Daphnia pulex: one gene and its partners. The main gene of each other region encodes a partner of the protein of the gene in region 6 in a complex. Links are inferred from orthologs where the notes say so. Each region holds a gene or a part of one and is shown on either strand. Other genes may lie near its edges.

Region 1 (4,017 bases), on a different chromosome or scaffold from region 6:
AATTATTTAGAAAAATGAAAAATTAAACCAAGCCGTACCTGTAAAAATTCGGCTCAACTTCTTCCGCTCTTAGGAAATACTGCAGTGCCTCTTCGTAAGAAGATACGGGCGGTGTAGCAAACAAGGTTGAGGCAATTTGCCTCTGAAGCCACGGCAATTCAGCAACAGAAAAGCACCTAAAGTTGCACGAAAATGTGTTACGTTACATACAAAAGAAAAGTTGTTATCTTGTCATACCAGTAGCCTAGCAAATGAAATGAAGTTGCATCCTTTGGGTTGAGTTCACACGCTCTTTCTATGTGTTTCTTGACGACAAACGATTGAGAAATGCGCTCCTTTAAGCCCTCGTAGGACGCCTTTTTATCTAACAAAATAAACATCCACTTGTGAGCAGCAAAGTTTTCCGGATCAATGAGCAGCGCCCCTTCAACATAACCGTATGCTTCAAAATCTAATTCTTTTTGTTCAATTGGACTGGACGATAATTTCGCTACTTCATACGTCGCTCGTGCCAGTCGCCAAAGAATTTCGGCATTATCTTCGGCCTAAAAAAAGTTTTTCCAACATTAAAACAGAGACTGACAAATCAGTTTATTCTTATTACCTTGTAGGGCAACAGAAGACTTCTCAATTTGGTGTAGGAATGCTCATTGTACAAGACATCAGCTTCAGAAATAAGATTGGTCTTATTTTCTCTTTCTTCATCAACTTTTACACTAGCAGAGACTGCAGGTAACAAACCCAGCATCCATCCTGCAGATTAACAAGTTATTGATTGTTTTTGTTACATGAATTCAAAAATTAGGCAACTTACCAATGTTTCTTGAAACTAGAGCTGGTTTCTTAGGAACAACATTCAGGAATCTTTTCCTGTACACAACAAATGCATGGTAAACTATTCCATATATTTTTCTCCCAGAGAACGATAACACCATGACGAACGCTTTCCACAACAGAAAGAAAATAAATGACGAAAAACGAATTAGGCAGTTGAGAATAGATAGGTAATCTAATTCCATGGCGACCAAAATTGGAACTAACGAACTTCAATAGTTGAAAAATGAATAATCATTTACTTTACTTGTAATATTACTTAACAATTTAGACCTCTTTATAAAAAAACTTTTTGATTGGCCATTTTTGGATATTTTAATAAGGTAAGTGAGAAATAGCCTTTCACAATTTATCATGTGGTTCAAGGCGGGAAGTCGACAGTGCAGTCTCGACGTGAAAAGAAAAGAACTGAAGCAGACGAAAACTGAACTGGGTCGTCGTCGACTATTTTTCTTCAGTATCGGGTCGGGTATAAAATTCGTTGGCGCTGTTTAAAGTGTCCCAATATTTTTTGGCATAGAAATTTCGATCACCACCCCTTAATTTTGGCCTATAATTTAGTAACGTGCATAGTTGGGTTAGTTATTTACCATTCGTGACGAACTTGTGACGAACACATCGGTGGTGTGTCTCGATCATTGTGTCGCCGGTGAGAAGTTGTTTTGTCAATCGTTTTTCACCGTCACATCATAATGTCTGCTGTTAACAAGGTACAATTTTTTTGTCTTCTCAATCAGTTAATTCAATATTAATACATGTGTTTCTCAAGACTCCTACTGGTGGATCAACTCCTGCTGCTACCAGGGTAAAGACATTTTGGTTTTTAATTAATTAGTTCAACATAATAATATGTGTTACATTAGACTCCAGCTGCTGGTGGATCAGCTCCTGCCGCTGCTGCTTCTAATGTTCAGACTATTGACATTCGAGTCCCCAAGTAAGAATATCAGACATTACCATCTAGATTTTTGCCTTCTTAAACCGAGTTTATAATGTTGTCACAGGAACATAAACAAAAAGCTTGCCATCATGAGATTCAATGGCTCAATGGGTATTGACTTTGTACAATGGAAAGATCCAAAAATGGAAAGGGAAAACAACCAAGTCACATTCAAAGGGTTCAATGAAGATATGCCAAAGTTTGGTGCTGGGAGTGAATATGGCAGAGAGGCTCGTGAGGAAGCTAGACGGAAGAAGTATGGCATAATAAGCAAAAAGTATAATCCTGAAAACCAGCCTTGGATTTTACAACATGGGGGAAAAAGTGGGAAAAAGTTCAGAGGTATACTAAAGTTGGAAACCAAGCTAAGATAGCAATAAGAAAGTTTAGTAATGTGCAATTATATTTATTTTATTAAACAGGAGTAAGAGATGGTGGCATTAATGAAAATGCATCGTACTACGTTTTTACGCAAGCACCAGATGGTGTGTTTGATGCCTTTCCTGTGCAAGAACAATACAGTTTTCAAGCAGTTCAAAATTACAAACCACTGAGTATTGAAGAAGCAGAGGAAGGGTACAACATGAGGAACAAAACATACAACATGTTCAATGTCATGATGAGAAAGAGACTAAGGAAAGACGATGAAGACGCCGAAGAAGAGGGCGAGGAAGAAGGTGAAGGCAAAGGAAAGAAAGGCAAGAAAAAGAAGGGAGCTAAAGGTAGGCAACAAGCAAAAGTTCCACCATAAATAATGTCACAAAATTATAACAACTTTTGCATTCAGATTCTCGTTTTGGTGATGAATTGGACGATATGATGGCATCTTCCGATGACGATTCTAGCGACGGCAATGATGATAACGACGACGATGATGGAGAAAGTAAGAAAAAGAAGAAGAAAGGCAAGAAACCTGTTAAGCCGAAGAAGAAGCGAAAGAATGCGTCCGATGATGAAGCTATCGAAGATAGCGATGATGGTGATGGTGAAGGCAGAGAGTTGGATTACATTTCCTCTTCCGACGATGACGAAAGGTATGTCATTAATCTTGATGCATTTGTCGATTTTCTAACACACCCGCGTTGTTCTTTAATCTAGTGATTTCGAGAAAGAAGAAGCAAAGGACGGACTAAAGGGTGTTGCCGAAGAGGATGCTCTCCGCAAGTTGCTTAACTCGGACGAAGAAGATGAAGACGAAGAAAAGGAGGAAGAAGAAGACAAAGACAAAGAAGAGGAAGATGCTGAAGGTGCCGAAGACCAGCAAGGTGATAAGGCTTCCAAAGACGAAAAAGGCGACAAAAAGAAGAAGAAAGAAAAAAAGAAGAACAAGGATAAAAAGCCCCGCAACGAGGATTATGGTAATATCCATTTAAAAACATCGTGTGTTTGAGTCAAATAATAACGAAACATTTATCAGGATCGTCAAGCGACAGCGGTGCCGAGAGCTCAGCATCCGAACTGGAGAAAGCTAAACCGAGCCCAAAAATGAAACCGTAAGTGCAGTAATTTGGTTTCCTGACAGTTAACTGACAAACTATTTCTAGGGGGAGTGCCAACAGTTCTAGATCAGCTACTCCGACGAAACCTGAAACATCGCCGCCTAAAACAACGCTATCAGATAGCAAGCGAAAGGGAACACCTGCAGTGTCCGATGCTCTTACTGGCCAAGCAACAAAGAAACCTCGATTGGACATGGCATCCGCTGCTTCAGCTGCCTCTGCCGCTTCAGCTGCATCATCATCTAGGTATTTATAAATAATGAACTAAAATTAATCCTGAAACGTTATGTATATTTTTTCTTTTACAGTGCCAATGAAGGAGTCAATGAAGAGTCTGTTAGACGTTATTTATCCCGCAAGCCAATGACAACGACCGAATTGCTTCAGAAGTTCAAAAGCAAGAAAACTGGTTTGTCGTCGGACCAGCTTGTCCATCACATTGCACAAATTTTGAAGAAGATCAACCCCGTGAAGCAGACAATTAAAGGGAAGATGTATTTGTCGATTAAGGCTTAGCGACAATAACGATGATTGGTGTGTTCTGTTTGTGCTGCAATCACTATTGCTACTTTACTGAAATTATCTCAGGCCTTCCCTTTACGGTTTATAAAAACGGACTAGAACGGTTGTTAAAATGCGTGATTTTCGGAACGATTAAACAAATTTGCAGTTGTAAGTTTTGGTATTATTTCAACAAGTTATCTGTTATTGGAAACACTTCACATTTTTAGATGAAAAACAGCC
Region 2 (3,781 bases), on a different chromosome or scaffold from region 6:
TTGGTATCTAAATTTAAGTATTGACCGTAGACTCTCAGAGCGGAGGGCGCAGAAAACCAGTTTGAATCCTGTGCATCTTTGGGCAGCTCTTCATCCCGTAGCTGATGAATTATAATATTTTTAGCGAGAAGAATGACAAAAGAATCAGGAATATACTAAATACCTCTAAAAGTTCGTCCAGAAAACCAGAAGCGAGAATATCCTGTATCCTGACTTTGCCTAGCTTTAATGGATCTAGGAAAAAGAGGAACTTGCGTACGGCGGTACAGACGTAAAACGAATGGAATGACTTTTCAAGCCCTTCTAACTGTGGCAATGTTGGGATAAGTTCAGTTATGTAGTTCTCTAAATCCTGGGAAAAACAAAAATAGATAAGTAAATTACATATTGCAAAAACAAAAAACATATTGCTGATGTTCACCATTTCAGTAAGCAGACCTTGTCCTGTGGCATCATATAATGAAAGACCAATTCTAGTTTGCTGTAACCAAACTTTCCTCATGATGTAATTGAACACTGCCATGGTTGATATTCTGCCATGAATATCATTCTGCAATAGCCTTGCAAATACATCTGGTGTAAAGAATGCTCTGTATAGGGGAATTCAAAAAATAACTTGGTGTTCCCAATCAAATATTTACATGTCTTACTTATATTTTGGACCAGCTATGTTGCCTACTTTGAGAAAATCAATATAATTGATCATCTGCTCAGAACCAGCAGGAGGGCTGTGATTTTTGTCAAGTAAAGTCCAGAGATTCTAAAGACAGGATGAAAATCTTATTTACCAGTAGCACAAACACTGGCAATGACATTAACAAACCTGCAGTTCATTGTTATCGAGGAGTTCTTTGCTCTTCTTCTGAAGGAATGCTGTTCTAGCTTCTTCTCTCAGTTTAAGGCTAATCATGTTTTCATGATTAGGAAGCTGTGTAACAAAAACATAAGAAATTTATAGGGAATCAATTGGAAGTTATGCTTACTTTGGTATAGAACTTTGGAACTGGCATGCTTTCTTCCGAGCATTGCTTGCTATATTTGAGACCTTCGGAATACAACTTTTGGAAGGTATCTTCATCTTCGGCGTTTAAAACCAAAATCTCGGATTTTTCATCCATCTCGTTGATGAAAATCAACGAATACTGAGACTTAGGCCGCTAATAAAAACGTTTCTTGTTCATTCGATTCAAACGTGTCGAAACGATAACAAACGGCTTTACTTTTAGCAGAAAGAATGTTTTTTTCGACCGCTAGATGCTATGCTTAGCCAAAATCACGCTTCGTGGCGCTGCCATCGGGGGCATTTCGATATATATTGCCGCGTCAGTCTTAGTTTTCATGTCGGCTTCCTGTTGAACGAAGCCCTCCCGGAATTGAAATCAAATAAAATTCAATTTCGTTAAAGAATGGCCGCCAATCAGGCACTCGTGGTATTTATTTACCTTTTACTTTATGATAATATTTCATGGGGAATAGTACCTGGAAACTGTTGTTGCATTGACGATTCCACTCCACGAGCTCGATCTCACTCCTCGTTGGTCTAATTAAGGACTTTTATATTTCTTTTTTTGTAGTCGAAACTGTATCGTGGCGTTATTGAAGATGTTATCAACGGGGTTCGAGAGGCGTTTCTTGACGAAGGAATCGATGAGGCTGTACTTCTCGAATTGAAGCAGAATTGGGAAAACAAATTGCAGTCCAGCAAAGCAATCGACCCTGTGACCGATCCTGCTGAAACTTCTCTCCAAAGCAAACTGCAACAAAGTATCCAATATCGATTATGAGACTTTATCATGTATGAAAAAAGGGTCTTCTTTGCCGTCAAAAGCAGGTCAGCAGGCTAGCTCTACAGCTCCTGCGAACAATTCTACACCTCAACAGGCAGCCACTACGGCAAAGCAACCAGGTAGTTGGGTATACTGTTACATTGAGTGCATTATTATTAATTGTTTTGTTTGTTTGTTTTTATTTTCTCTAAAGCAGCAGCAGCAGCCCAAACCCCAGTGACTACCCCTAATGCAGCTACAGGTGCAGCAACAACAGCAGCAGCTGCAGCCCCTGCTACGACAACAGTAAGGACGGTGCCAGTCCAAATCACTGTTCCTCCTCAGGCTGGAGTAGCAGGTCATACAGCAGCCAAGAGCATCACTGTTCACGTTCCAGCTCATGCTCTTCAAGGTTATTTCCCAATTGAATCTCGTTCGTACTAGCTCCAATCTAATTTCTTTACTATTTGTAATAATGTCACAGGTGGCGCAGCGGGAGCGCAGCTGCAAACGATCCTGAGTTCACCGGCTGTGACGGCGGCTCTCTCTCTTCCAGTTGAAATGGCCACGACTGTCTTGCAGCAGCACATTAATAACGCGTTGCAGGTACCATTGGTTGAAATTGAATCCACTCGAAAGTGTATATAATAATGTGTGTACAATGCATTATTACTTTTCTTTGTAGTCGACAGCTGCACGGAGCCAATCGCGAACTGACAATGGAGGAGTCACACAGTTGGATGGACCCGGAGACTCTTCGGACGACGACGACGATGTTGAAGATGATGACGATGACGACGTGGAAGAAGAGGACGATCATGACGACGAGGAGATTGACGCAGACAACGAAGAGAACGCAGACGAGGAGCCACTCAACTCTGAAGACGATGTGACTGATGATGATCCCTCAGTGTTATTTGAAACTGATAACGTCGTCGTGTGCCAGTACGACAAGGCAAGGATTTGAATTTTAGCATTCGAATTGGAATTGAAATGTTTTAAATGACTTTTTTTTCTATTTGTAGATTACGAGAAGTCGAAACAGGTGGAAGTTTCATCTCAAGGACGGCATCATGAACATTAACGGTCGCGATTACGTCTTTCAAAAGGCCAACGGTGATGCAGAGTGGTGAAAATATTCAAGGTTGAAATTGCGCTACTAGGGGAAAATCAAGATAATGTTTCATTTAATACAATCCGGAGGAATTTCGCTTTCAATTTAAGGATTTTTCGTGTGCCTGTGCGTGTGCATGTGCGGAATTTCTTTTTTCATGTCGGGTGTTGGATGAGCGGTGGAGAGGAAAAAATACCTGGGGACAAAGAAACAAAAGCCATTCGTGTTTGTCCTCCCTCGCTTCTTTTGTTTCGTTTCTCTTTTTTTGTTAACACACAAAACTTTCCGAATTCTTTTTTTGTCTCATCTTTTCCCTGTTCGCTGCAGAAGCTGTTGTCGCCCCCTTTTGATTCAGGAATATTTAGAAGAAGAAGAAAAATATATGTTCAAATTACCAAGAATTGCAATTAGTTTTCGAGAAGATTCTAATAACGTGACCCAAAACTAGTCCAAGACCCAGGGGACAATGTTACTAATTACGGTACCGAAAAATTCTTGTAATCGTATACAGTTGGTGGTGGACATTTTCAATGTTAGTCGGAAGAAATCTAGATTAGGTTGTATACATGGGAAGTCATTCAGGCGAGCGTACGGGGACTTGAAAGCAAATAACCAAGTGGTCAAAAGCTTACATCCGTTTGCAGTCATCACCGGGGAATTGCTCATCCAACTATTGGATTCGGTACACGTTAATGGAGTTTCTACACGATAGCAGCGCGGTAGGAGTTGTTGGCGTCCGCCAAAAAGTTTCCTAGAGCCGTTAAAAGGCAACCAGCACAAAACTAAACGAACTTTGCTGTTGCCAGGACCTTAGGATTCGACCTGCTGGACTCATTATCAAAACTAAAAAAAAAACGAGGGGAAAAGTTTCAACAAGGACGGACTGGGGCGTTCTTCCATC
Region 3 (2,556 bases), on a different chromosome or scaffold from region 6:
AAAATTATTAGGTCATGGAAGAAATTGAGGCAAACGGAATTCGTATTTACCCACTTCCCGATTGCGATTCGGATGAAGACGAAGACTACAAAGAGCAAGTTCGTCAGCTTAAAGACGCAGTGTATGTAATAATTCATTCAGACTAATAACAATTATAATTCATTCATAATAATAATAATAATATAATTCATTTATTCAGACCTTTTGCTGTATGTGGGGCCAATACGTTGATTGAAGTTAAGGGCCGAAAGGTCCGCGGACGGCAGTATCCATGGGGTGTCGTTGAAGTTGAAAATCCTGAACACTGCGATTTCATTAAACTCCGAACGATGCTGATGTAACTTGTTTGACTCGTCAAAGATCGAAAATCTTGCATTGCACTAACGTTTAATTCTTTCATTATTTAGTCAACAGCTACAAGATTTACAGGAAGTAACACAAGATGTTCACTATGAGAACTACCGATCAGAACGTCTTGCTAAAGGTGTAGCTTCGAATCGAAAAACCGCTGGGCCAACTAATTCCACCGCGCCATCGGCTGCTCCGGAGCAGATTAGTGAGAAAGAAAAAATACTTCAGGTTAGTAACTATTGTGTTATTAATAGACAATGGAAATAGTGTTTCGACCGTTTGCATCATTGTTTTGTTCTCACAGGAAAAAGAGGCGGAGCTACGACGTATGCAACAGATGTTGGCTCAAATGCAAGCACAAATGCAACAACAACAACCTCAATAGCACTGTGCGTCGTCTTTAACAGCAATTTTCAGTTGTCACTTAAACCAAAAGGAATTCTTCTCTACTGTTTTGACTGTTTATTCAGCTTTGATTGCTGTTTCAACACCCTTGGCACTCTTACCTTCCAATGTGAAGATCTTAGGTTTCCTCGATAAAATCCCATTCAAGTGCCAACATTTAACAAATTCGCTGTGCTTCATTATTTGGTCACTTCACTAGTAATTTTCCTCATTTGCGTACATTCGAATTTTTCTTCCATGTAGGGCAATTAAAGCCCAGATGCGCCTCGAATATCCTACCCAATCATTTTCTTTTTAGTGTCTCGGACTCTCGGTACTGGTCGCAGTATTTCAATATACAATTTTTTCAGACTCTTGCTTCCTTTTTCCCATTAAAAGATTTAATTTTTCTTAGTTTTCTTGAAGTGAAACCAAACCTTTATGAATGGAAGTCTTGTAAATTTTTATATAATGCGCCAACAAACTCCTTTCCCGCTCAATTTAAGACGCCACCTACCGACGCCAATCAAAAGCTGGAAGTGCTGAAAGAAGATGCCAAAAATCCAAAATGGTGATCAGACGATCAGTTACTTACTTACTTTTTACCAATGGGGCAAGATGGTAAACGTAACTAAAGGAATTCTGGTAATAATTTACGGTAAAACTTATAAATGCCACTTGATTTATTATATCTTTGTATTTGAAGTATGGTATTTTAACTTACTTCAATCACTAGTGAAATTGACTGTGCTGGTAAAAGTTTCTTGTCAGAAAGAAAGCACAAAATATTCGATCGGACTATCCCGTGGAAATAGTCATAGATTTAGAAATTAATAAGTATCTCAGGTGGCAACTTATAATGGTTTACCTTTTCTTTACATGGTGCTTAATTGTTAAATTTATACTTGAATTTGTATTATTACCCAAAGGTTGAATGTGATGCTGCTATGAAACAATTGCTTCTTCATTTAGACGAGACACATGCTCTAGGCAACAAATTCATAGTTCAAGATTTGGATGAAACTCACGTTTTCATTGTAAAATTTAAAAAATACTTCTATTTTCTCATATTTTGTATTTTTATCTTTTTGACATTTTCTCTGTTAGGCACCTGAATATCTGGAAGTTTTGCAGTCTAGAATTGATGATTTGATGGACAGGATCAGTTTTCCTTTGGCAGAAAGAGAAATCGAGTAAATTATCTATCATCATGAATTCATCTCAGAGAGAGTCAGCCCGTCAGAAGGATGCCAATTCCAGAAGGGTTTTGGATGAGGCAGCTCGTAGGAGAAGAGCAAGGAAAGCATTGGAAGCACTTGAGCAAGATAATTTTCATGATGACCCTCATGCCAATTTAGGTATTTTTGTAAGTTGGCTAGTTTTCAGATCTTTCATTAATTCTGGATATTTATGCAGTACTAAGCAAAAAGATCCCCAAGTTTGAAGAGTCTCTTGATGGTAAACAAACAAGAAGAAGGAAATCTAAAAATTTCGAAATTTTCAAACAACGGTATTTTGTTTAATATTAATTGCTGAAACGAAGTGTAATTCTATTGAAGTAATTTCTCCTCTTTTACAGGTTTCGAAAATCCTTTGCACAGCTGTTGGAGGAAGAACAGGTTAATCGCCCAGAGCCCCCAAATTATGTTTCAGCTCAAGTTCCACCATCTAAGTTTCCCGAACGTCATTTTTGTGCTGTTTGTGGATTTACTTGTAGTTACACCTGTTTATCTTGTGGCGCAAGGTACTGTAGCGTCAAATGCTTAGGTACTCATCAAGACACGCGTTGCTTGAAGTGGACCGCCTAATAATATTCCATTG
Region 4 (3,409 bases), on a different chromosome or scaffold from region 6:
ACAACTTTACTTTCATAAAAGCTCATAAAATGTTTTCTTACTCTTTGATTTTATTATGAAATAAATAACAATGAAAGAATCATAGGTTGAATATGAAATATCTTTTAATAAATCGCAATAACCGAATTAATAGCCTAATATTTAATTCACACATTTTCTTAATCACCTTGAATGTACTAATTGGAATACAAATTGCAGTTTAAAGTGCGATAACCGCAACTTGGGTTATGACTTTTATTCTCTGTTCGTTTGCATTCGACAAGAATATTTAGACTCACTATAGCTTATACTCACCAGTGTAAAATGATCAAATTTAAAATAGCCTATTCGTTCTTTCTTCGGTAGATAATTTCTTTCAATTATCTTGGACTAGTGTATACAACTTTCAAACTAAAATATATGTTTCTATTCTCTCGCACTGTCCATTTCAAAGCGCAATCAAGTATGTTGTATATTCGATCACGGAGTGGAGTGCTGGCCTGGTCGTCAGCTTCTTGATTCCGCCACCAGCGGCCACCATGAGAAAGGGAAACCCGTTTAGAATTTCAAATTGCTGTGCTCTTTTTATTTTTACCGTTTCGCCATCTCTTGTTTAGACAAATCTATGTTATACATGTATAGCAATTCGTACTAGTGATAGAACTCAATTATAGTAAAAGGAGTTAGTGGACGGACATTGTCCCCCCACAAGACATCGCCTTAAGTACCAATCTAGTTGTTATAACTTTCTCGATTTCGTAGAATTGTTTGATTTTGAATCCAGTTACAAGTGGTAATACATATTCCGATCGAATCAGACCAACTAGTACAAAAAGAGGTTTCCCAGTTTCTGCTTTGTTTCAGAGGGCGATTATATACTTGGCCAGGCATTCCGGTGATTTCGTACTTATTAAAATTCCAAACATTCCGAATCACTTCTCACGGGGCGTTATGAAAAATACCACATTATTCCGCGTCTGAAAGTTACACAGATAGACGTCCTGATTTGCAAATTCCTATAAATCTAGAAAGGCAAGAAAATAATAATAATAATAATATTAGGGAATTCATACTGAAACAAATTTGAGATTTGAGCATTGAGATATGCAATCAGGGTTACATTTGAGGAGGAGTAAAAAGCTAAATGAAAAAATGTTGGCCAATCAAACTATTTCCTGTTAAAAGCTTATTAAAGGGATTGTGCAACAACAAATTTGATCAGTTATTTTTTTTAAGGCCATTAAATTTCCATGCCATTTCGATTTTTGGGGGGTTTTATTAAAGAAAAATGCGTTGACGAACTGATGGTTGCGTAAACTTATCTAATAAAACAAAAGAACGCGCTCTGGCGCGATTTATAGCAGACGATAGACTTGAAGACCTTTTCAGTTGTGTGACGTTGTCGATTGAAAGAAGAAACGATTACTTGTTTTATTAAAGCCGGCCAATATTTAGAACTACATTCTCTTGAATAGGTTTTTCTAGTACGTTGAAGCAGAATTTTTAAAACTGAAAACCATGGAGTCAAAGAAAAAGGAGAAAGAAAAAGAGAAAGACAAGGAGAAAGACAAAGATGTCATCGTTTATGAAAGGGAAATGGAAATGTCTTCAGCTAGTCGGGGTGTTTGGTTGGTGAAAGTACCAAAATACATTTCAAGTCGATGGGATAAATGCCCTGGAAATATTACAGCTGGACAACTGAATATTACTAGGTATGCATCAATTGGTTTATGTTAACAAATCGACAAATCCTTTATTAACTCATTACAACTCTTGTTCAGGGTGCAAGGACAAAAGTCTCAAGTCAAACTTATTCTGTCGGAAGCTATTATGTGTCTCCAGGAAAAAGGAGAGGAACCTATTCCTAAAGAGCATGGATTGATTGTTTCACACATTACTTCACAAACATTGGGTGTATTTTCTCAACAAACCAGTACGTACTACTTGACAGTTATGGGGAAGATTTTTATTTTAGGCCTGAGCTTAAAGCATGATATTTAAAGTGGCGTGCTTGCAATTAATCTAATTTAATATTGACATTTTTGTATTGTTTCCCCAGCTCCAGCCACCGCGAACTCACCTATGGAAACTGAGAAGATCATATTTGAAGGCAAAGTTGCCCAGAAGCTTGAATGTAGACCAACAGGTGAGACCAACAAAATAAAGTTCCTAAGCTTGAAGTGAGCATTAATGATTTTTATTTTCATCAGCAAATGCAAGTTACATGAAACTCAAAAGGGATTCTTTGATTAAAGCTGCCCAACCTACAAGAATTGTGAAGCAATTGGATCGAGTGGTTCAAAGTTACAAACCCATCTCTGACCACAAGCATAATGTAAATATAGCAATTCTCGTCTATTTTTGGTACATCATAACCTTTTATTCCTGATTACAGAAAGAATTCGACGAAAAGAAGAAAGCTGAGGGTAAGAAAGCCAGAGATGATAAGGGCAAAGTTATGGACATGCTGTTTGCAGCTTTTGAAAAGCATCAGTACTACAACATCAAGGACTTGGTAAAACTCACCAACCAACCTGTGGTAAGAAAAAGTTGTTTTCATACAAGCATTTGCACTTTTAAAACCCTCTGCTTTTATAGACCTACCTCAAGGAAATTTTGAAGGATGTTTGTGTATACAATTTGAAGAATCCTCACAAAAACATGTGGGAACTGAAACCGGAATACCGCCACTACAAAGATGAAGACAAGGACTAATAAGTAAACAGTCCATTAACTTTCTAATAAAGCTGTGATTTTCAGAAAACTACTAAACAGCTCTTGGATGCACATAACTTCAGATAACTCAAATGGGTTTCAACTGCCCTTGAAATTGTTCGATAAAATGTTCTCTTAGGCTACAATTTTCCCTTCGTCTAAAAATTCCCGTGCTAACAAGTGTGTGGTCCAATACATCGATGCGAACTTGAAAATTTTACCAATATAATTTATCCCAACCATATCAGGAAGAAATGATTTCATGAGCGAGTTCAGTGCGAAAAGTAGGCTTATGTGCTAACGAGGAACCCCTTTTAAACAGAATCGTAAGATTGTAAAAACAAGAATCAAGTAAAAGGTTACATGTTAATATTTACAGCTTTTCATGGTACCCTACTTACAGTTAACATTATATTATCTCAGTCAAAAGCCATAATCTATTAGAATAGCAACAGCCTGTCTCTTGATGAGATTCATCATCCAACCATGATTCAACCAACAATTTAACGCTGAATATAGTTATCTACAAATTAATTTGTTTTAATTTTCACTAGTTACAATTTGCCAGAATGTAATTTTAAAAATTGTTTATTTGTCAATATAGATACTATAAAATACACCAAACAGAATTATTTCACCAGGAAATCTGCAACTTCAGGTAGCGATGTGAGGGTTCCTGTACAACAACAGAATAAGAATTAGCATTTCAACATCA
Region 5 (3,961 bases), on a different chromosome or scaffold from region 6:
TAAAGGGCTAACTTATGCTTACATTCCTCTCGAAACGAGTGGTGCGATTGCACGCGACACAGACAGCACTGGATTAGATGAACCCACAATTACAACAGCAATATTGTTCCCAATCTTTGAAAAAAAAACCAATAAACTTTAGTAGAAAAAATTTAGTAATGCAACTGATAATGAATTTAATACTTGAGTAACAGGACATGACTCTAGCTGATCAGCATAATAGGTCCAATAACTTGCAGCTGGAACAATTTCATGTTGGATGCAGTAGCGTAGAGGTTTGCCAAAAGTGGTTGAAAGAGCCAAACCAAGAAGTTTTTGATATTCAGGTTGACTTAATAACATCCCAAGTCTTTAGAAATAATTGGTGATTACAAATACAGAAATAACACATTTAGACAAACATATGATACTCAGTCATTTTGGCAGATGTTTCTAGCCATTGGATGTGTGACCATTTTCTTTGTCTGTCTTGCTTGAGAGCTCTCACAAATTCTTCAAAGTCACCATCAACACGTTTCATAATGGAAACATTCTTGGCCAACTCTTGATGAACAGAGCTAATCATGAGGAACTTGCCCCAATTGGTCCCTTCTCCTTGGCTAGCAGGGACACTTAAAGGTGAAGTGGCAACCCAATTCTGTCATTTAAATAAATTGATGATATGAAACTATGAAGAAATTACATCGATTGTTTTACTTTAAAATCGCGGTCGACCTCCATGCTGCTTTTTCCGTAATTAAGCGTAGCTCCTTTTACAGCTTCAAGAATGTTGACCATCTCAGGATGAGTGTTTAGCTCTAATATTTCTTCCTGTAAAAGTTCAGCAAACGAATGTTATATGGAATGTTTGAGATAATTTATGGATACACTTAAAGATAATTCGATCGTACGCTTTATTACGGAAATTACGTTGTCACTTGCCAGCTGTTTGTCTCTGTCAAAACAAGTTGAAATATCGTGCGTGAATACAGCTGTCACATCTTACCTGAGTCATTATGGCAAAACAACTTTAACCACAACTTTCGTTTTCATTTTGGCTTCGAGTTAAAAAAAAATCCTAATAATAAAATTTATAAAATGTTGCTCGTTTTCGATGTTTGGAACTATTATTTTAAATTTATAAATGTATTAAATCGTAAAGAAATTTGACAACGCTGTAGGCTAATAGTATCATCGCACTAGCAGACTGATAAAAAATCAGCGCGAGCAGTGAGAGCTACATTGATGAGACAACGTGGTCTTGGCCGTTTTTTTTCAGTTTTAGTGATTGCAAAGATCACAAGCACAGAGCTCATCACTATAGTAAAATCAGAAATCGTTAAGAGTTCGAGAACCAAGTAGTTTTATTTTTTATTATTGTATTAAGTAAAAGAAACGATAGCCATGGCGAGTACGAATTGCTCCCAGTTGACTCCCATACCACAGTCCATATTGAAACCCAGTTCGCGAATCAGTATGCAACCCAAGAAACTTTCCCAGCCTTTGCAGGTCCGATTTGACTCCTTGGTCACAATTGACGTGGTTTCAATTTTGAAGGATTATATCGAAGGGCGAAGCGAAGTGAAATATCACCAATTATTGAATCTGAAAAATGATCCTAATGTCAATGTAAGTAATTTGGGGAAAAAACTGGACGTAGGATTACAAGATTACGAACTAAGAATTTTTTTATTTTTAGGATGGATTTTTACTCCTGATTCTTCAACAAGTAAACAGCTCTATCAGTCTGCTGACTCCAAAAGTTGATTCCTTTGTTGATGCATTGCTGCATATTTCATGGACAACAAGACAGCCCCCAGTACTTGATGAATATTTGACATTTCTCCAAACACTAGTTTCAGCACACACATTCTACTGTAGATCAGTAGTCAAAATGCTAGTCTCACATCTGACACTTAATTCAGACTGTGAAAAATCTACATCGAATGTGCATCTAGTTTTGAGGGGAATTTTGCAGCTGATACCATTGTAAGAGCCCTGTAATTATTTGTTTCCAGGATCAAGAAAATAATGTTTTTGTATTGACAGGTCTCAAAGTATTATTTGGGATTCTTTAAATAATGGTTTTCCCTACATTGGATCAAGCAGTTGCAATCAAGTAAACTACATCAGAAATCTTCTACATTTTGTTGAATACCATGAAATGTCTGGACCCCGTGTTTTACATCTCATCATTGGAAGGTATGTCAGTCTTTAATTCATTTATTTTAATTAACTAATTGAATAATTTTTGTATAGAATCATTAAATTGGACAGCAGAGTTTCAAGAGAGGACTTGCTACAAAAATTCAATCAGCCTATGGAGTTTGATGAGGATACAGTCTTGAATCAAGCTTCTGAAACGTTAGACGAAATCATGAAAGTTATGTTTGAGTTGTGTCATCGCAAATGTCATAGCGAATGGATTGTTCATCGGAATTTTTATCAGGACATGTACGCTACGTTCGAATCTTTGATACTACCGGCCGCCGGTATCCATCATGTCCATTACTTGATGTTCTACATATGTAGTACCAAAACTGCTCTCTATGAAGCTTTTACTGAGCGCTTGTGGGTCATTTTTCTTACCCCTTCATCTCAGTTGAATATTCGAAAATCGTGTGCCGATTACCTTGCTTCGTTTTTGGGGAGAGCCTCTTTTGTACCCATGAAGTACGTTCACATTTGTGATAATAAGACCAATCAAACCAAACATTAACTCGTGATTTCTCTAAAGGTACGTCATTGACTGTCTGGATCGAGTGTGTCAGTGGATTCACGCATACCTCGATCGGCAATCAAAGGGTGAGGGAGCAGCTGTTTTTAAAATCCGAGCCCATGCAGCATTCTATGCCGCTTGTCATATTCCCTTCTACGTTTTGGCTGCTAGGCATCGAGATATTGTCAACGACAGAAAGCGTACGATGATCGTTCTTTCTTATTGTTGGAATTCAATTAACCTTTTGATCATTTTTGCAGTTCTCGCCCGATTGCAAGCCCTGGATTTGAACCGAATTGTCAACTCACCTTTGAACCCACTACGCTATTGTCACGCTACAACTGTCAGACAATTCGCAGAATCCGCTTCACATCTGCAGGTTGTACCACTATCAATCAAGTTGATTTGTAACGTAATTAACCGAAATTCTCGTTTAGATTGTATTCTGTCACACCATCATGATTCGTAATCAGAGGGTTTGTATACCTGAAGCTACAACTGACACATTTGTCATGGATACAGAATATCCATTCGAGAAATACCTCTTGCCCTCATCGATGGACTTTGTGTCACCTCTTGTTATTGACAAACCTATCGGTCGTGACGATTCACTCTACGACAGCGATCAGGTTATGGAGGAGCTTTTGTCTGAATCACCAAGAGTTGGCGGCTTTATGCACCACTTCATGGGTTGATTTCATCGATATTGTCGTTGGTAAAATCTAAAATTTACCCCATTTTCCCTGTTTCTTTATTTTCTGCAATTCTCTACATCTTTATTACCATATGACCGTCTTTTCCCATTCGTGTCGGTTAAATTATGTATATTAACGTGGTATATATTCACTCGATCGTGCCTATTTGTTGGAAGACCGTTGAAATTAACATTTTTTCCTTTTGGGTCTTGGTCTACGGATTAATCATCCGTTACGCTATTCACAACTTCGGGAGCTGATCACTGCTGCGGTTTTTCTTCGTAAGAACATTATTTTTCCTTTTTCTATACTCGATCGTATTGGGCGGCTTGGGACGTACGTTGAAATTCTCCTTTGATTCGTGGGCTTGTTAAATTTCTTTTTGTCTACTCTCCCGATTACCGCAATGTTATTTGCTCTCCCCTTCGATTTCGCCGTTTCCTATTCAACTTACAAAGATGTTGTCGCCAGCGTGTAATGAAAATTAAAGTTTTCGTGTAATTCATTTGAAAAAAAAAATTGCCACTTAAAAACCAGTTCCCTTTAGTGAGAATAAAATTCAAGTGAA
Region 6 (3,018 bases):
CATCCCGTCCCGTGCCGATTCGTTCGAGTACGTCATGTTCGGCAAAGTCTATCGCATTGAAGGCGATGAAGGATCGACCGAGCCGTCATCTCGATTGTGAGTTTCATATTTCTTTTTCTTAAATATTCCCTTCATTTGAACGTAATTTTGATTGATGTGGGAGAGAAAATTTCCACACCGGGACGGGGAACCACCCTGCGTTCGCCTGTTGTTGGAATTTTCCAGGTGAACACAGCTGGTGGTATCTCAGTCCTTGTGATATTGGAACAAATCGACTTGTGTTGTTGTTGTTGTTGTCGTTCTAAATAAGAGAGTTGTTGCGCGAACTTTTCTCTTTTTTTTTATTTCGTTGCGTTTTCTTTCCGATGGTTACCGGGGGCAGCCATTACGGTTAAAAAATCCGAACGAAACTGTACATTTTGATTCAATCTCAATCTTTTTGTATCACTTTCTAAGTTTTTTGGTGGACTTGTGACCGACATTCTTTCCCCATGAGGCGGAATAAAAATGCGTTGTCGGCTCTTCCAGTGAAATGGCGAAACTTTGTCCGACTCCCCTCCCATTTTCCAGAAAACATAAATATTCCAATAATAGGAGAAAGCTTGCACCGACTTAGTTTTTAGCCTTTTATTTTTCAATTCCACGAATCGGTCTTTGACCCAGGACTTCTGCGAATTATTCCTAAAACCACTCGCGTTTACACGACAACTAGAAACGTACTACGTGATTGACAGGGGGCCAATCATTTTAAATGGTGAACCATAGCGATTGATATAGCTCTTTAGAAAAAGATGAGGAATTGCCAGAGGCGAATTGACGTCAGCTACTACTTTTGGCCATTTGTATTTGTGGAGAAGCCTCGGCCTACTCCGGTAGGCCTGGCCCACCACCGACTATATAAAAGCCAAGTGGGTGGTAGAATGTTAGGACCATTTGGAATTCGACCTCTGACCCGGACGGTGTGGCTAAGAAATCGAGAGCGGGGGCCCCTCGTTGAGAAAAAAAAGCTGCGCTGAGAAAAAGAAGAAAAATTATCGTTATAATTTATTAGTTTTTTAGTTTTTAATTTTTATTGGTTGTTGTTTCATCATATGTGTGTGTGTGTCGATTTTGTGTGTGTGTGTGTTTCGTATTGCATGCATCGTTGATTAATTAATTGATTGATTGATTGATGATGTGATGTTTTTGAGACCCAGTCCATTTTCTGTCTGGAGTCCGTACCACAAGTGCGTTTGCCTTTAATTATTTCGTAAACGAGGTAAATGCATTCTTCTGGTATCGTCACTCTTTTCAGCCATCATCATATTTCTTTGCCCCCCTTTTTCTGATGTTTTTTGTTATTGCTCGTATTTTTCTATTAAATAAATTGAGAACACAAATTTCACTTGGTTTAAAGAAAAAATCGAGAATCGCACAACGCGGGGGTTATATAAATAAATCACGCGAGGTGATATAGGTTTAAACTCGGGAGTGGCAAAGGTTGTTCGGTAGGATGTCGGTTGTTTTATACGACCGCATTAGACACCTAAAAAAGCAACAGTTTCTTCCCCCTATCGATCAGCTCGTAAATCTAGAGGCAGCCACCGTTTTAATTCGTGGCTTTGGTCGTGAAAAGACGTTAATGATGCGTGATTAATAACTTTGTTTGACCTGAAAACGTAACAGGTATACCCCAAGGGCGGTTGTTAAAAAAGAAGGAATCAAGTTTTTCCAGGACGGAGAAGAGGAAGACATGATTTTGTTTTAAAAGAAAAGGAAAAAAGCTTGTATTGGTTAGATACGTTCGTCTTGGTTTAGTTGACGAAATGACGACGATTTCTTTTTCTTCGAACATCTTTTTTAATTTGAGAATGGAAGGGTGGGGGGGGTCGATGTTTTTCGTCGAACCGTCGAAGCAATTCCCTATGGATATTAATTGGTCGACGACGTTTAATAACGCCTATCGTACGATTTTTTCTCGTCGACATGTTGTGGTGTGTGCCCATCTTTCTCGTTATAAAAGGACTTTGCAAATGTCTCCATGTCACAGTCGAGTCTTCGCTTCTCATTGAGCCACAAGTGTCTTGATGCAAGTACAAATTGTTTGGGCAATAAGTGTATTGATGGTTGGCAGTGTGGTTAGCTGGTTGTGAAATATTTACTTGAATCCACAGCCACTATCCAAACTGTCCACTGTCGATGACACGATATTCGACCAAACTACTAATGATCATGTGTGCCCTTAATTGTATGTTTTTGTGTATCTTGATTGTTTTCTTTTTTAGATGATGGGTAGTGTTCGGTAATGATTTTCTTTATTGATTCGTGCAGATCTGCCTATGCGTCGTACGGAGGATTGCTGATGCGTTTGCAGGGAGATGCCAACAATCTTCACGGATTCGAAGTCGATCAACAAATCTACCTGTTGATTAAGAAACTTGCGTTTTAAAAAGTGGTATGCAAACTTATAAATTACAAGTTTGGGATACGAATGAATGTACTTCATTATTTCTTTGAATACACTTGCATTTTTTTGTAACTAATAATGTTTCGACTTTATTTTATTAGTAAACGAATTGTTGTAAGTATAATAAGTTCTTGTATTCTTTTCCGTAATAGCGTAATCTTTTCAACTTGATTTTTGCATTGATAAAAGCCAAACTACAAATGGGCAGAAACCAGAAGGGCAAGTCCAGGTTTTCTTCAATGCTCATTGCAATCCCCCCCTGCAAATTAAGCATGGCCGAGGGCTTTGAGTTTTTCCACCATCATGTCGACGTTCTCGACCTTGGCACCTGCAAGCCGCACGGGTGGTTCCTCGACCGTGACTACTTCAATTCTTGGGCTGACGTCGACGCCTAAATCCTTAGGCGTCAGTTTCTTAATGGGCTTCTTCTTGGCTTTCTAAAAAGAAAAGAAATAAAAAACTTGAGTGAAAAATCGAGGGCATTTGTGCGTATATTAAAAAAAGTACCATGATGTTGGGGAGAGTTGCGTAGCGAGGCTCATTCAGACGCAAGTCGGCGCTGACGACAGTTG
Region 7 (4,297 bases), on a different chromosome or scaffold from region 6:
AAATCCCGGTTCGTTCGCGCCACACTCGTGCGTCGTACTTGGATAGTGATGACGACATTGCACCCGTCAAGACTACCGGTACCACGACCAGGGCGCGCTACAGTGCCGCTTCGTGTTTGGATGATGATGCTAACGGAGAACCCGTCATGAAACTAGAGGTAAATTTATTTGAGCGCTTTGTGAACCACCCACGTATTTTGCATAGCGTAGCATATCTTAAAAATAGTTTTATTCTATAGCTGATAGAATAAGCTCAAATTATTAGAAATTACCGTTGGGTTCTAAGTTTTGATTCTATAAGTTGACTACATTTTTGTTTGATCAATTAACAAACCATTAGCTCACTTTCAGGATATCGAAGAAGATTTACGCAAATTGCGTGAGGCGACTTCGTCAGTGCTCAATCGCTTCGCCACGAAGACCAACACCCAACCCTCTACTCGGTAACGAACAAATCAAATTTTCACGCAAATGAACCAGATGGTATTTAATGAATATCAATAGTTTGTCTCGTTTCTTTTCGAGCTATCTGAACGATGATAAGGATTACGAGAAGAGAAGCTCAAGTTACAGCTCTGATAGCTACAGTCCTAGCTACAGCAGCTCGTATGCCAGGCCGTCGTCGATAAAGCCGGTCGACTCTTCATCTTACGATCCGCCCGTCTACGATAAGCGCTACTCAATGTACTTGTCTAGCCGTTCCACTAACAAGGATTCGGATTTGGAAAAAGACGCAGCAGGTAAACCACATCCTCTACCAATTGTAATTTTTTTTGTTACCTGCAAATGAACTTCTTAATTACAGGAAAATCTGATCGAGGACCGATCCCGCAGGCAACAGCAGAACCGGAGTCGTATTCGAGACGTAGAACACCAAGGGCTTCAGCTTCAAGCGACGATAACAGCAAAATCAATTCACGAATTGCTGTCATGTCCAAATACATTCTTTCAAAGAATAAGACAAAAAATTAAATAAATGACAAAGACGAATACATTTTTTTTTTCATAGATGGTTCAGTCTCAGGATAAATGCCCCATTTATTCTCTCTCCTCCGAAAGAAATAATTTACCCATACATTACATGTCTGTAAAATGCTGACGTATTAGTTTAGTTCGGACTGTTTGATACGCCGAATATACTTCAGCTTATACCGTAAGTATCGCGCTAACATCCAAGCTAACTGTTTATATCGTGTACAGTTACTGTGTCTAACGTGTATGTGTTATTTGCCTCAGAAAAAATAGAAATATAAAAACTCAACAAATTCCTTGAAATACTATTGGAAATAGGATTTTCTTTTTTTGAGAGGAGGGTGTTTATTGGCTATCAAAATAATATTTAATTTCTTATTATTTACCTTTACCCTATAATATATGTCCGTTTGTTTTCTAGAAAAGCGGTTTCGATTTGAACTGAATTAAACTGAGAGACGGTGGCGAGACGGTGGCGACATCTTGCAGTAAATTTTAAAAATAAATAAAAGCAGACGACACTTTTCACAATAGTCATTATTTGCCAATTTTTCCCTCGTCCAGACACGTGTTAAAGCTCAACGGAAAAATGAGTAAAAGTAAAGTTAAATATTCATCAAGCAAGGAATACATTGATGAAAGTAGGAATGAACTCGTGCTGACAGAATTCGAAGTTCTTAATGTAATACTACATAACAGAAATCTTCCTAAGTTCAACCAAATTTAATAATAAAAATAACTATTTAGGCTGAAGCCACAGACTTCCCAGGAAATCATCATGGGTTTGACGACAGTTGGAGTTTTGAAAAGTTCAAAAAGGTTCTTCTAAGAAAAGTTCTACACTATAAGTAGATAAAAAGAGAGCATTACCATTTTTTCTGATTTTGTAGAGGCTCAAAATTAACATTGTCCGCATGGAAAATATGGAAATGGAGTTTGATTTGATTGGTGTTGATCCAGCCATACCAAATGCTTTTCGTCGTATTTTGCTGTCTGATATTCCCACCATGGCCTTCGACAAAGTCTTCATGTTCAACAATACCTCAATCATCCAAGATGAAGTCTTGGCCCACAGACTGGGACTGATACCATTGAAAGCTGACCCAAGATTGTTTGAATTCAGAGCTGAAGGTATACTCCAAACACCCATTCTTTTCTTTGTCACCTTACTTCATATAACTGAATCTTTGTTACCCCATCTCTCATTTTAGATGATGATACTGGGACTCCTGAAGATACACTTGAATTTGAGTTAAAAGTGAAATGTTCGTGGAATCCTCAAAGGACTAAAGATCATACAAATCCTGAACACTTGTACAGGGATTTCAGAGGTAAGAAGGGAAACTCAAACCTTTTTTTTTCGACAGAATGCTGACCTACTTTTTTCAGTTTTGACATCTCATTTGAAATGGATTCCACTGGGTGGCCAAAAAGATATCTTTACCCCTGATGCAGTTGGACCAGTTGACGATAACATTCTAATCGCAAAAATGAGACCTGGTCACGAACTTGACATCAAATTGCACGCAATGAAAGGGACCGGACGAGAACATGCAAAATTCTCACCCGTTGGTTAGTTTTATTGTTTTTTTTTATGATTAAGAATTTTTGGACCGAGATTTAAACAAAAACTATTTTTCTATTTTCTCAAGCTACCGCATTTTACCGTCTCCTACCACAAGTGAAACTTCTTAAGGAAGTGGAAGGTGAAGCTGCCCAAAGATTACAAAAGTGCTTTTCCCCTGGGGTTATTGATTTGGTCGACTCAGGTTTGCTACATACTATATTTTTTCTTCTAGCTTAATTAGTGTGAAGCACTACCTTTTTATTCTATTTCAGGTGAAAAGAAGGTTGCCAAAGTCAACGATGCCCGATATGACATCTGCAGCCGCAACGTATTCCGTCACGAAGATCTAAAAGAGGACACTGTAAAGCTGACCCGAGCACGCGACCATTTCATCTGTAAGTATTGTTATTGGATTTTTGCTTATTCCTTACTTTAGCGATGCATTTGAAAATGTGTTTAGTTTACATCGAGTCTACTGGAGCACTGGCGCCGGAGGTCCTCTTCACTGAAGCCGCCAAGATCCTGTCACAAAAATGCCGTGTATTTTTGGATGAATTGAAGAATGGACTGTAGGAATGGTATCCTAAATAGACGCGTTGATTCATGACGATTACGCATTATTAGTTCACCTGGAGGCGTTTGTGCCGTTGATATAGTTATCACCCAGGATTCCAGCCGAGTGACCCAGAACTGCATTTAGAAACCGAAACCGGAGCTTTTCAAACGGAAGGAAGGGAAGACTTATTTAAAAAATTTGAGGGGTGGAGGCGAGCAACTAATTCTTCCTGGTTTTACGGAAGGATACCTATCCTTTTTCATATGTTCCTTTCCATCGCTATTTTTATTTGCCTTCTGCAACAATGGCTTCTGTTTGTTTCGCTACTGGTTTTACGAAACGTTGGCGCTAGACTTGCTAGATAAGCTGTAGTAGCCTCTTATTGACCTTGGATCCTAAGGTTTTGATTGTTTTGGATGTGAACCGAGATGTTCCTCCTTCTAATGTTCTTCTTCCTTCCTTCTCACATTTTGTTTACACCGCCAATTCGTTTTAGCCCATTGTGGAATATGCGTAGGTGGTGCCAAGAAAGTCTAGGCAGATGAGATGAAGGAAATGGGAAGAAGAACAAGAAGTGTATTCTGTTTTGTTTTTTATCTCCTCTCCCTTTCTCTTTCCCTTCTTCTTCTTCCTATTTTCTTTTCTCTCTTTCTCTTAAGTCTATTTCTCATTGACCGTGGCATCTAAATTTAGTGCTCGTGGAAGCTTGTGGAAGCTTGCGAGCTTGTGGAAGAGTTTTGTTTCGGACGTAGAGCACTCGGGTCGCTTTCCATCTCCACGTTCACTACAAGTACAGTCGACGACGCACTCTGCTTGGTGGCCGGACGAAAGAAAAACCGTCTCCCTCAATCAAAAGACCCCTTTCCCCCATCTGGGCCGATCGTGAAGTTGTTAATTAGGGAGATCTTTTTTCTCATTTGGACTTGGCTGGACAACAGAAATTGGGTAAGAGAATGCCTCATATAAATTTATGCCTATGATTGTCTATTCATTTTTATTTCGGTTTTGAACCCCTATCGTTTCCTATTTTCATTCTTCGGATCCGGAGAAGACGATTACGCAATGGCAGGCTACTACTCCAGTCAACGAGGATATGGTGGCTCCTACGGTAGCTCCTATGGCGGTTCATCATCGTCGGCCTACACGTCATCCCTGCGTAGCAACTATATGCCGGTAAGTCTCCCATTATTGGGGCGGTTGAA

What was found.
Region 1: DNA-directed RNA polymerases I, II, and III subunit RPABC3-like (region 6) and general transcription factor IIF subunit 1-like share a complex: the UniProt entries of both Homo sapiens proteins name them as parts of the TBP-based Pol II pre-initiation complex. The link is inferred for Daphnia pulex from reciprocal best matches to the Homo sapiens genes POLR2H and GTF2F1.
Region 2: DNA-directed RNA polymerases I, II, and III subunit RPABC3-like (region 6) and transcription initiation factor IIA subunit 1-like share a complex: the UniProt entries of both Homo sapiens proteins name them as parts of the TBP-based Pol II pre-initiation complex. The link is inferred for Daphnia pulex from reciprocal best matches to the Homo sapiens genes POLR2H and GTF2A1.
Region 3: DNA-directed RNA polymerases I, II, and III subunit RPABC3-like (region 6) and general transcription factor IIH subunit 5-like share a complex: the UniProt entries of both Homo sapiens proteins name them as parts of the TBP-based Pol II pre-initiation complex. The link is inferred for Daphnia pulex from reciprocal best matches to the Homo sapiens genes POLR2H and GTF2H5.
Region 4: DNA-directed RNA polymerases I, II, and III subunit RPABC3-like (region 6) and general transcription factor IIF subunit 2-like share a complex: the UniProt entries of both Homo sapiens proteins name them as parts of the TBP-based Pol II pre-initiation complex. The link is inferred for Daphnia pulex from reciprocal best matches to the Homo sapiens genes POLR2H and GTF2F2.
Region 5: DNA-directed RNA polymerases I, II, and III subunit RPABC3-like (region 6) and RNA polymerase I-specific transcription initiation factor RRN3-like share a complex: the UniProt entries of both Homo sapiens proteins name them as parts of the pol I pre-initiation complex. The link is inferred for Daphnia pulex from reciprocal best matches to the Homo sapiens genes POLR2H and RRN3.
Region 7: DNA-directed RNA polymerases I, II, and III subunit RPABC3-like (region 6) and DNA-directed RNA polymerases I and III subunit RPAC1-like share a complex: the UniProt entries of both Homo sapiens proteins name them as parts of the pol I pre-initiation complex. The link is inferred for Daphnia pulex from reciprocal best matches to the Homo sapiens genes POLR2H and POLR1C.

What each region holds. Positions count from the first base shown.
Region 1 is NC_060018.1:350,396-354,412, reverse strand, and holds general transcription factor IIF subunit 1-like, read left to right. Parts: upstream 1-1,217; 5' UTR 1,218-1,526; coding exon 1,527-1,544; intron 1,545-1,603; coding exon 1,604-1,639; intron 1,640-1,697; coding exon 1,698-1,771; intron 1,772-1,838; coding exon 1,839-2,116; intron 2,117-2,196; coding exon 2,197-2,496; intron 2,497-2,561; coding exon 2,562-2,808; intron 2,809-2,872; coding exon 2,873-3,132; intron 3,133-3,191; coding exon 3,192-3,267; intron 3,268-3,318; coding exon 3,319-3,519; intron 3,520-3,581; coding exon 3,582-3,789; 3' UTR 3,790-3,949; downstream 3,950-4,017. Other genes in the region: regulator of microtubule dynamics protein 1-like, read right to left, coding at 39-176, 238-545, 605-753, 815-1,044, 1,108-1,190. UniProt on the Homo sapiens protein: TFIIF is a general transcription initiation factor that binds to RNA polymerase II and helps to recruit it to the initiation complex in collaboration with TFIIB. It promotes transcription elongation.
Region 2 is NC_060018.1:12,590,407-12,594,187, forward strand, and holds transcription initiation factor IIA subunit 1-like, read left to right. Parts: upstream 1-1,283; 5' UTR 1,284-1,406; coding exon 1,407-1,430; intron 1,431-1,574; coding exon 1,575-1,764; intron 1,765-1,807; coding exon 1,808-1,906; intron 1,907-1,977; coding exon 1,978-2,178; intron 2,179-2,250; coding exon 2,251-2,372; intron 2,373-2,451; coding exon 2,452-2,721; intron 2,722-2,791; coding exon 2,792-2,899; 3' UTR 2,900-3,281; downstream 3,282-3,781. Other genes in the region: serine/threonine-protein phosphatase 2A regulatory subunit B'' subunit gamma-like, read right to left, coding at 1-101, 164-352, 422-590, 651-760, 824-928, 984-1,118. UniProt on the Homo sapiens protein: TFIIA is a component of the transcription machinery of RNA polymerase II and plays an important role in transcriptional activation. TFIIA in a complex with TBP mediates transcriptional activity.
Region 3 is NC_060021.1:7,407,973-7,410,528, forward strand, and holds general transcription factor IIH subunit 5-like, read left to right. Parts: upstream 1-1,278; 5' UTR 1,279-1,287; coding exon 1,288-1,380; intron 1,381-1,664; coding exon 1,665-1,772; intron 1,773-1,842; coding exon 1,843-1,932; 3' UTR 1,933-1,960; downstream 1,961-2,556. Other genes in the region: septin-1-like, read left to right, coding at 12-121, 200-337, 408-579, 1,961-2,093, 2,152-2,245, 2,315-2,543. UniProt on the Homo sapiens protein: Component of the general transcription and DNA repair factor IIH (TFIIH) core complex, which is involved in general and transcription-coupled nucleotide excision repair (NER) of damaged DNA and, when complexed to CAK, in RNA transcription by RNA polymerase II.
Region 4 is NC_060025.1:406,076-409,484, forward strand, and holds general transcription factor IIF subunit 2-like, read left to right. Parts: upstream 1-1,343; 5' UTR 1,344-1,497; coding exon 1,498-1,691; intron 1,692-1,760; coding exon 1,761-1,912; intron 1,913-2,038; coding exon 2,039-2,125; intron 2,126-2,189; coding exon 2,190-2,314; intron 2,315-2,374; coding exon 2,375-2,518; intron 2,519-2,577; coding exon 2,578-2,694; 3' UTR 2,695-2,909; downstream 2,910-3,409. UniProt on the Homo sapiens protein: TFIIF is a general transcription initiation factor that binds to RNA polymerase II and helps to recruit it to the initiation complex in collaboration with TFIIB.
Region 5 is NC_060026.1:14,530,097-14,534,057, reverse strand, and holds the start of RNA polymerase I-specific transcription initiation factor RRN3-like, read left to right. Parts: upstream 1-1,161; 5' UTR 1,162-1,383; coding exon 1,384-1,608; intron 1,609-1,678; coding exon 1,679-1,968; intron 1,969-2,028; coding exon 2,029-2,181; intron 2,182-2,238; coding exon 2,239-2,652; intron 2,653-2,716; coding exon 2,717-2,898; intron 2,899-2,958; coding exon 2,959-3,077; intron 3,078-3,135; coding exon 3,136-3,393; 3' UTR 3,394-3,961. Other genes in the region: uncharacterized protein LOC124203933, read right to left, coding at 23-114, 184-349, 411-637, 697-777. UniProt on the Homo sapiens protein: Required for efficient transcription initiation by RNA polymerase I (Pol I). Required for the formation of the competent pre-initiation complex (PIC).
Region 6 is NC_060023.1:10,147,956-10,150,973, forward strand, and holds the end of DNA-directed RNA polymerases I, II, and III subunit RPABC3-like, read left to right. Parts: coding exon 1-96; intron 97-2,310; coding exon 2,311-2,428; 3' UTR 2,429-2,518; downstream 2,519-3,018. Other genes in the region: electron transfer flavoprotein subunit beta-like, read right to left, coding at 2,713-2,883, 2,954-3,018. UniProt on the Homo sapiens protein: DNA-dependent RNA polymerase catalyzes the transcription of DNA into RNA using the four ribonucleoside triphosphates as substrates.
Region 7 is NC_060020.1:1,790,205-1,794,501, reverse strand, and holds DNA-directed RNA polymerases I and III subunit RPAC1-like, read left to right. Parts: upstream 1-1,497; 5' UTR 1,498-1,561; coding exon 1,562-1,654; intron 1,655-1,719; coding exon 1,720-1,791; intron 1,792-1,862; coding exon 1,863-2,103; intron 2,104-2,183; coding exon 2,184-2,303; intron 2,304-2,361; coding exon 2,362-2,544; intron 2,545-2,624; coding exon 2,625-2,741; intron 2,742-2,811; coding exon 2,812-2,934; intron 2,935-2,999; coding exon 3,000-3,112; 3' UTR 3,113-3,117; exon of another isoform or gene 3,118-3,146; intron 3,147-3,195; 3' UTR 3,196-4,030; downstream 4,031-4,297. Other genes in the region: uncharacterized protein LOC124192222, read left to right, coding at 1-158, 352-443, 505-740, 806-972; sodium/potassium/calcium exchanger 1-like, read left to right, coding at 4,158-4,268. UniProt on the Homo sapiens protein: DNA-dependent RNA polymerase catalyzes the transcription of DNA into RNA using the four ribonucleoside triphosphates as substrates.